2 linked regions of the Macaca mulatta genome follow. The protein of the gene in region 2 purifies or fractionates together with the protein of the main gene of each other region. This does not show direct contact. Links are inferred from orthologs where the notes say so. Each region holds a gene or a part of one and is shown on either strand. Other genes may lie near its edges.

Evidence for each region.
Region 1: the proteins of ARRDC3 (region 2) and ITCH purify together in Homo sapiens (co-immunoprecipitation; 5 studies listed by BioGRID and IntAct, counting the BioPlex papers as one, with this or other methods). This does not show direct contact. The link is inferred for Macaca mulatta from reciprocal best matches to the Homo sapiens genes ARRDC3 and ITCH.

Annotation. Positions count from the first base shown.
Region 1 is NC_133415.1:87,186,276-87,190,874, reverse strand, and holds the start of ITCH (E3 ubiquitin-protein ligase Itchy homolog), read right to left. Parts: upstream 2,870-4,599; coding exon 2,723-2,869; intron 2,659-2,722; exon of another isoform or gene 2,635-2,658; coding exon 2,479-2,634; intron 2,013-2,478; coding exon 1,922-2,012; intron 1-1,921. UniProt on the Homo sapiens protein: Acts as an Acts as an E3 ubiquitin-protein ligase which accepts ubiquitin from an E2 ubiquitin-conjugating enzyme in the form of a thioester and then directly transfers the ubiquitin to targeted substrates.
Region 2 is NC_133411.1:97,757,951-97,762,220, forward strand, and holds the start of ARRDC3 (arrestin domain-containing protein 3), read right to left. Parts: upstream 3,013-4,270; 5' UTR 2,798-3,012; coding exon 2,518-2,797; intron 630-2,517; exon of another isoform or gene 72-629; intron 1-71. UniProt on the Homo sapiens protein: Adapter protein that plays a role in regulating cell-surface expression of adrenergic receptors and probably also other G protein-coupled receptors.

The sequences.
Region 1 (4,599 bases), on a different chromosome or scaffold from region 2:
GATTCCATATAACCTAGGAATTTCACTCTTAGGTATATACCCAAGAAAACTGAAAACATACATTCTCACAAAAACTTGTTCACAAATGTTTATAGCATTTTTCATAATATCCAAAAAGTAGAAACAACCCAAACATCCCTCAACTGAAGAATGGATTTTTAAAATTTGGTATACTCATACAATAAAATATTATTTAGCAAAAAAAGGAATTAAGTAATGCTACATGCTACAACAAGGATGAACCTTGAAAACAGTCTGCTCAAAGAAGACACAAAAGGCCACACATTGTACAATTCCATTTATATGCAAGATCCAGAATAGGGAAATCTAGAGACAGAAAGATCAGGAGTTGCCTGGGTTTGTGGGTGGATGGGTTAAATGGAGAGTGACTGCTAATGAGTACAGGGCTTCTTTCTGGAAGGACAAAAAAATATATATATATATTTTTGAGACGGAGTCTCGCTCTGTCGTCCAGGCTGGAGTGCAGTGGCCGGATCTCAGCTCACTGCAAGCTCTGCTTCCTGGGTTTATGCCATTCTCCTGCCTCAGCCTCCCAAGTAGCTGGGACTACAGGCGCCTGCCAGCTCGCCCGGCTAGTTTTTTTTTTTTTTTTTTTTTTTGTATTTTTTAGTAGAGACGGGGTTTCACCGGGTTAGCCAGGATGGTCTCGATCTCCTGACCTCGTGATCCGCCCGTCTCAGCCTCCCAAAGTGCTGGGATTACAGGCTTGAGCCACCGCACCCGGCCAAAAATATTTTAAAGTTGATTGTGGTGATGGTTGCACAACTCTGTGAATGTACTTTTGGGGTTCAGAAACTGATATCCCAAAATATGGTGCTTTGACTCGTTGAACTAAAGGAGTCTCTCAAGATCTCTCTGACCCCTGCAGCATCCCTCCCTCAATCTTCTTTCTCTCAAAGTACAGCATGAAGTTGTTTTCTGAAGTTCTCTTATCTGCCTAAGTCCAGATCCACCAAAGAAGGAAACAATTACAATTACCTTTGTTCCTTCCTTGAGTTTTCAATAACTAAACTTATATAGCAGGAATATAAAGACTGAAGTCTTTTTTTTTTTTTTGAGATGGAATCTCGCTCTGTCGCCCAGGCTGGAGTGCAATGGCATGATCTCGACTCACTGCAACCTCTGCCTCCTAGGTTCAAGCGATTCTCCTGTCTCAGCCTCCCAAGTAGCTGGGATTACAGGTATGCACCACCACGTGCAGCTAATTTTTTTTATGTTTAACAGAGACGGGGTTTCACCATGTTGGCCAGGCTGGTCTCAAACTCCTGACCTCAGGTGATCCGCCCACCTGGATCTCCCAAAGTACTGGGATTACAGGCGTGTAATCCCAATAAATGGGTAACCTGTAGGGGATATGAATTATATCTCAATAAAGCTGTTAATACAATACAAAACAAACAAAATAAGCAACTACCCAGGTGCCCATGTTCAAGGAAAAAAAACTGTAAAATATCCAAGAATATTCTACAATAAAAATTACTATCTGTATGTCTTCATTCATTCATTCAGCAAATATTAATTGAGCACCTGACATGTAACAGCCATTAAATATTTTGTTCTCTTAAGATTTTTTTTTTTTGAGAGTCTCACCCTATCACCCAGGCTGGGGTGCAGTGGCGCAATCTCGGTTCATTGCAACCTCCACTTCCCAAGGTCAAGCGATTCTCATGCCTCAGCCTCCGAAGTAGCTGGGACAGCAGGCGTGCACCACTACGCCCAACTAATTTTGTATTCTCCATGTTGGCCTGGCTGATGTCAAACTCCTGGCCTCAAGCGACCCGCCCACCTCAGCCTCCCAAAGTGCTGGGATTACAGTCATGGGCCACCATGCCCGGCCCTCTCAGGATTATTTTTTAATCACATGGGGAAAAATAAAGCTGCCGATGTTTCTAAAACTTACCAGTGATCTGAAGCTGTGATTTCATGGTGAGGCTACCCATTGAACCAAGTTGTGATCCACTGTCAGACATACCACCAATAGGTTGGAAAACCTGAACATGGCAAAGGAGGCAGTGTAAACATCAAAAATTCCCATTAAAAACGTACGTAAATAGTGCTAACCTGGCTATTACTGAAGACAGTGTAACAAAGGCCTTTACATTGCTAAACACAATTTTCAATTCTAGTCTTTATCCTACCTAACTTATTGGCAAAATCTGACAATGCTTGTTAGTACTACAGGGGCCAAGACAAGACTTCCCCTTTGCGCCCAGTGAAGGTTCACTGAAAATCATCTGACAAAAGGCAGGCAGATAAATTTGAGAAAAGGCATACATAACTATTAGCATGCATGAGTCGGGGTGGGGTGGATCACAAAATGATCACCCCATCAAGCAATGGGGTACAGATGATTATAACCTGGAGGATATTACCTATCCAGATAGCTTTAAATATCATCTATATAACATGTCCCAAGCAACTTTATTTACTTATTTATTTTTTGGGAAAAACTCTCACTCTGTCACCCAAGCTGGGGTGTTCTGGAGCGCCTCCCGGGCTGGGGGGTCCTTCTGCTTCAGCCTCCTGAGTTGCTGGGACCACTGGTGCACACCACCACTCCCGACCCAGGAGGTAAGTCCGCAGTGAGCTGTGATCACACCACTGTACTCCAGCCTGGGCAACAGAGGAAGACCCTACCTCAAAAAAGAAGAAATAAGATACAATAAAAAATAAAATTAAACTAAATATACTTGGCACTTACTGTTTGCCAGGTACTTTTGTAAGAAGTACACAAATACAATAAGGCAAACAAAATGCCTTGAAACTGTAAACGCTGTCTTGAGTTTTTATGCAAATTTAGGTTTCCGTTTAAAAATTTAAATATAAAACAATTATGATGGCTTCTCATTTCTGCAAAAATGAAATGGAACAATAATTAATTCCTACTGAGATGAACCCTATAAAATCCAACCTACCTCATTCTGTGCTTACATACAAAAATGCTCGAAGCTAAAATTTGGTCTCAACCATAGGGACTAGCTCATTTTCTTGGCATAATACATATATTTTTTCCTTTACCTTGTTTATTTAAATTGCACTATTTCAAATGAGATGTTTTATAAACAAAATCTGCTAAAAGAACCCTTTTATTTTAAAAATGAAAGGTAAACAGCATAAAGTCATTAGTAGTCATCCATAATATATTAAGAAATGAGATGTAACCTAAAAGCCTTTTAACACCATATTGCACAAGATATTATTCTGATTCAAATGGCTTGTTATGAGAAGGGTCCTCAAAGACATTATAACACATTATGTACACGTATTACTCCCTCCTCAATATCCAAAAGCCTGTTTGCCATAGAACGACAATATCAAAAAAAGTAAATTAAGGGGCAGTGAGAAAAGTCCAATATCTAGGTGCTGATATTCTGCATGATAAAGGTACTCATCTCCATCAACAGTCACTCATCTCCACTAACGATTTATTGCAAGAAAATGCCCTTTCTAATAGTACAGTATAAACTATTCTAAATATAAATTTACATTAATTACAAAGTCGCAAAAAATTTTAGATCTCTACAAAAATGAAGTATATTTTAAAAACTAAAATTAACTTCATGTAGAAAAGATTAATGAAAGCATAGCCTGCAAATATTTTTAAGAACAATGACTCTCCAGATAATTACAGAGAATCATTATGGTAGAATTGTGAGGTGCTCTGCCAAAAACATGCTAGTAATTTCAATAATTTATGTACATATACATACTAGTTTTACATAACTAAAATTCACCAAGCATTTTAAATTCTTGAAAAGAATAAAAATTGCTATTTGCATAATATCAAAAAATTAGAAGCAACCTATATTATCAATTGGCATATGTTAAATAAATCACATATTCATACCACAGAACAGATTACTATGCAGGTATCAAAATAAGTAACTTATTAATGACTGAAATTGAAAGATCCCAAGAACATCTTTAAAGTTGCAGAATAGCATACATGAGTTGGGGTGGGGTGGATCACAAAATGATCACCCCATCAGTATGTACAGTATGATATTATTTTTGCAAACTAAAACACTATATACTCCTATGAGTACAAATACTTATAAATAAACACAGAAAAAGTATACATTCCATTGAGGAGGAGGGCACCTGTGTACTCAAGTAGGTGGTCACAGGGAACTGCAGTTTTGTATGTATTGTTTGAAGTTCTAGAAGTGAAACATGTATCATTGTTGACTTGTACAATTTTAAAAACAGCATAAAACAGAGTAGAAAAAACAGATAACCTATACTTCAAGTCCCATCCTCTCCCCTGAGAGCCAAACTCTTAGGTCTCACTATCACTTACAACTGCATACATGGTTAAAATGATTAAATCTAAGCTGGGCGCGGTGGCTCACTCCTGTAATCCCAGCACTCTGGGAGGCCAAGGCGGGTGGATCACCTGAGGTCAGGAGTTCAACACCAGCCTGGCCAACATGTTGAAACCCCATCTCTAGTAAAAATACAAAAAATTAGGCCGGGCGCGGTGGCTCACGCCTGTAATCCCAGCACTTTGGGAGGCCGAGACGGGCGGATCACGAGGTCAGGAGATCGAGACCATCCTGGCTAACACGGTGAAACCCC
Region 2 (4,270 bases):
GCGCTCGCGCCCGTGCCCGCACAACCTAGCCTGCTGGACGAGGGGCGGGGCGAGCGAGCCGCGGCGCTTCCGCTTTACACGCCCCAGCCGGCGACCGGTTCGATCTGGCTTGGGCCACTCTGACACCTTTAGTTTCCGCGAGGGAAACTGGGGCGGCCGAGGGGAGGCGGGGGCCTGAAGCTTTCGGAAAACAATGGGGGAGGGGGCAGAGGATACCCTTCGAAGCCCCCACCTAGATTTCGATATTGGAATCATTTTCTTTCTTCCCCGGGCCAGCCTCTGCTCTGTCCCCTCAGGTCAACTCAAGGTAGCCAGTGTGGCTACTGGAGAGGTCGGGGAACACGCTTTGTTTCAGAAGCGTTCACAGGAGTCCCCTGACACCTCCTACCCGGCAGATAGCTAACGGGGGTCCTGCCAACCCTTCCCATCCAAATTCCATCTGAAAAGGATTTTCCACTAAAGTTGGGTCCCGGGCCATCCGGCACCTGTAAGGCCGGCAGGAGCGTCTGCCCTCAACTCAGCTAAAGCCTGAAGTCGTTTCCTTTCGATGGTCCTTAGCAGGCCCAAAAGAGGGGCGATAGAACGTGATGTGACACGGGCCGGGCGCCCCCAGAAGCCCGGGAACAAACGTGAGTATGGACTGGGTGGGGGTGGCTCTCTGGAGGGACCTTTACCGGCGCACGCCGGTTTCCTAGCCTCGCCCCAGCAGCGGCGCGAGCCCCCTCTCCCCACCCGCCCGCGCCCAATCCAATCAGCGCCTGCCATCGCCTTAGCAACAGGCTAACAAACCTGGCTCCGCCTATCCCGGGCGCCCGGGGCGGGGTCTCAGTTACCAGGCTAGTTTGAGAGCTCCCAGTTTCAAGTCATTGAAACTATTCCAGACTGAGCTCGTCTACGCGTTGCAGGGTTTGGGGGGGGGGGCATTTTGTTGGGGGTGCAGGGCATTTAGTTTTCTTTACCATGAAATCATGGTGTAACTAATGAAATATTTGTCCTCACAACTCATTGTTCTACTTTTCCCCCATTGCAAGTCTCAACCTCTTGAAGAAAAATCTGTTTCTTTCACCCATTTCATAAAAGGCTGCAATATTCAGAAAGGTAGAAACACAAACTCATCTATCTGCTTTTCAACAAATACCAAGACTGTCATTAGGCATCTGCATCTCCTATCAGTGTTAACGCTTGGAGACATTAATTAGTTATTTCAGGATGCAAAGTACCTGTATCTACGAAAATCCTACTAAAGAACTGAGTTCACCTTAATAGTTTCAGAAATCATGCATTAATACTGCCCCTCAAAGCATCCTTCATTTCTCACTTGCCTTAGTTCAGTCATCAGCACCTCTCCAGGATGTACGTTTTTAATATAAAAAAGAAGGTAAAATATGGCTCTAATTTTTTTCTGAAAAATCGCCAACATCTGAACTAAATACTGCATTAAAAAGGAGAGGCACAAAAATTACATAACCAGTTTTAACATTATATTCTTCTTGGGCTAGGAATTAAGTCATCGCCACCACCTGACGCGTGTAACCAATCTGCTGAGAGCAGAACAAGCGCCCCTCCTCACCACCCCCCAGAACTGGTCCGAAACAGGATTGAACCGCTTCTAACAAAGGGTGGAAACTTAGAAAAACAAGCCTAGACTCTCCTATATTTCCACAATGTAACCATTTAAACAATAGATTGGAAATCTCAGGACTCCTTCTCCCTTTGACAACCCTTTATCTCCCTCTTCTAACCAAAAATCAAATCCAGTGTGCCCTATACTTTTCAATTCCATTTGACTGGCATGGGTTTCATTGAATGCACGTTCCAAAGTTAGACATGATGCTCGGAAAAGAAAATTACTGATCCTAAATGGCTTCTAAAACTGACTCGATACCTATCATAATGACAGACAGTACCCTTTAAAATAAGGAATGCTGGGTGTAAATTTTTAAAGGAATGGGAAAGAATAGAGAAAAAACACGTGGGGTGTTGATACCATATGTCAAAATAAGCCACATAAACCTTTTATGAAAGCACAGTGATCAATTCTTTAAAGTCTTTTGCATTCCAAAATTAAAAATGAAACACGCCCATTAAGCCTCTTAAAAATGTTATTACATTTCTTGATTGAAGTTTAGTTTTTACATCTTAGGTTGCAAGTAAAAGGGCAAAAATCTAAGACTGCAGCTTTTAGCAATTCATTTGAAAATATATTAGTAAAACGATTGCATTGGATTCAAGCAGAATTTATAAGGTGCAAATGGACTACAAGCGCGTATGGCACAGACCAAGCCGGGTATAGAGGTAGTTGAATAAGTGTAGTTTGCAGTCACTTTGCAGATGCCTGCATGCATTACGGCTTAACACACGATGAACGTCAAGGGGAATCCAAACCTTCCAACTTTGCTAACCTTTATCAAACTGCTTAGTTATACTATGAGTAGAATCACGTTAATTCAGAAAACTGAAAAGGTACGTTTCCAAAGAAAATGAGTCCAATGACTTCTGAATAACAGAAAAACTTACCTCTTTCGTGCCCAATTAAGATGTCTTTATGGTTGAAATATTCTACTTCTTCAGTGTAATTCTGTGTATAGGCAGTATTGGAGCCGGCGTTTCTAGATTCAGTCCAGCGTACTTTCGCATGCCCTCTTGCATGAATTTTAAGAGATTTTACTCTGATTTCCCCAGTAACTTCTAAATTTACCCTTCCTGAGACAGTATCCCCACTAGAATACACAGGGACATTGCTGTCATTAAGACAGTCAAAGCTTATTGTCAAACTCTTCACCTTTCCCAGCACCATGTTTATAACAAAATCTATAAAAATATAATGTAAGACAAAAAAGTCAAGATCGCATATAAAATGTGATCTTCACTTAACACTGATCGATATTTTTGCCGTGCAAAATGCTTGCAGGCCGGATCAGTGATTCTCTACAAATAGTTCATTGAGATTTCTTAAAAAGTCAGGGCAGCAGAAGCTGCTGCTCCGCGCTCCCGCTCGTCTCAGTGGTCTCCTTACAAAGACGGGCGGCTAAAGGCTGCCAGCTCACTTTAAGAGCAGCTTTGTGAAAAACAACCCCAATGCGCAAGCGCAGGCCGCGGCTGCTGTCCGCCCTCCCTGCGCGCCCCCTCCAGCGCCGCGCCGCGCCGCGCCGCGCTCGCTCCCTCCCTTGCTCGCTCGCTCCCGGGTACAGTAGGTGTAGAGTTAGGGGAAGGAGATACTGGAGCTGCCGGCCGGCTGAACCTGACTTCTCTTCATTGTGGGCTCCTATTGGTAGGCAGGCTGCCGTATACCCTCGACGTGCTATCTGGAGCCCCTTACCGAGCACACTCTACTGGAAAGATAATGGCAGAGTGGGGCGCGAGGGGACAAGGCCTGGGTGGGGAGTTTGCAAAGCCAAGTAAGGATAAACTGCAGTGACCACCCCAAAGCGTGCGTTACTGGCACTGCAGCGTTTTACCAACTGCCTGGATGGGAGGAGGAAAAAGTGATGTGTGAAGAGAGATGGGGGAAGGGAGAAACCGGTTGGGCAAGCGGCCGATTGTTGAGCATAATCTAACGAATTTTCAAAGAAAATGTAATAAAACTGGACAAGAAGTATTGTTCATAGACAAGAGCATACTTGGCTTGGATTTTTTTTTTTTTTTTTAAACCAGTACTTTGTAGGCAGGGTGGAAATGAACTCAGTCGAGGTCAAAGGAACCTTAGTCCTTTGAAGAGCGAGGTAGAGAAGCAAGTACAATGTAATCAATAGGCTTTTTTGTCTCCTCAACTTCTTTCTCCTACATCGCTTAATTAGATAGCACCGAAAAACAACCAAGTTGTTTCCAGGATGACACGGGTGGGGGCTGGGGGGAAGCTTGACCACTTCCTCGAAGGAAGAAAAAGTCCTTTTTAAGACACCACCTACGGCTAGATTTGCAGAGTAAGACATGATTACAACTCCTGTGTCCAGAGGAATAAGAATAGAGTTCGGCCTAAAAAAGTACCATCTTATAAAAGGCATAGGACATAGTGGTTTAGCTGACATATTGTTTGCAACAGAATCGGAAAATCTTTGTTAGAAATTAGTGAAGCGCATAAAATTGTTTTTAAAAAGCATGATTTGGTATATAAATAGGGGTTAACTGTGAAGCTTTAATTTTCGGCCGAAAGAGCCTTGGACCATTTAACGTAGTAATTCTCATGATACATCTTAAATATAGGTACATTTCTCTTTTTATTGTGAATGTTTGGTAAAAAATAGCAGTGCTTTCGTCACATCACACTGGG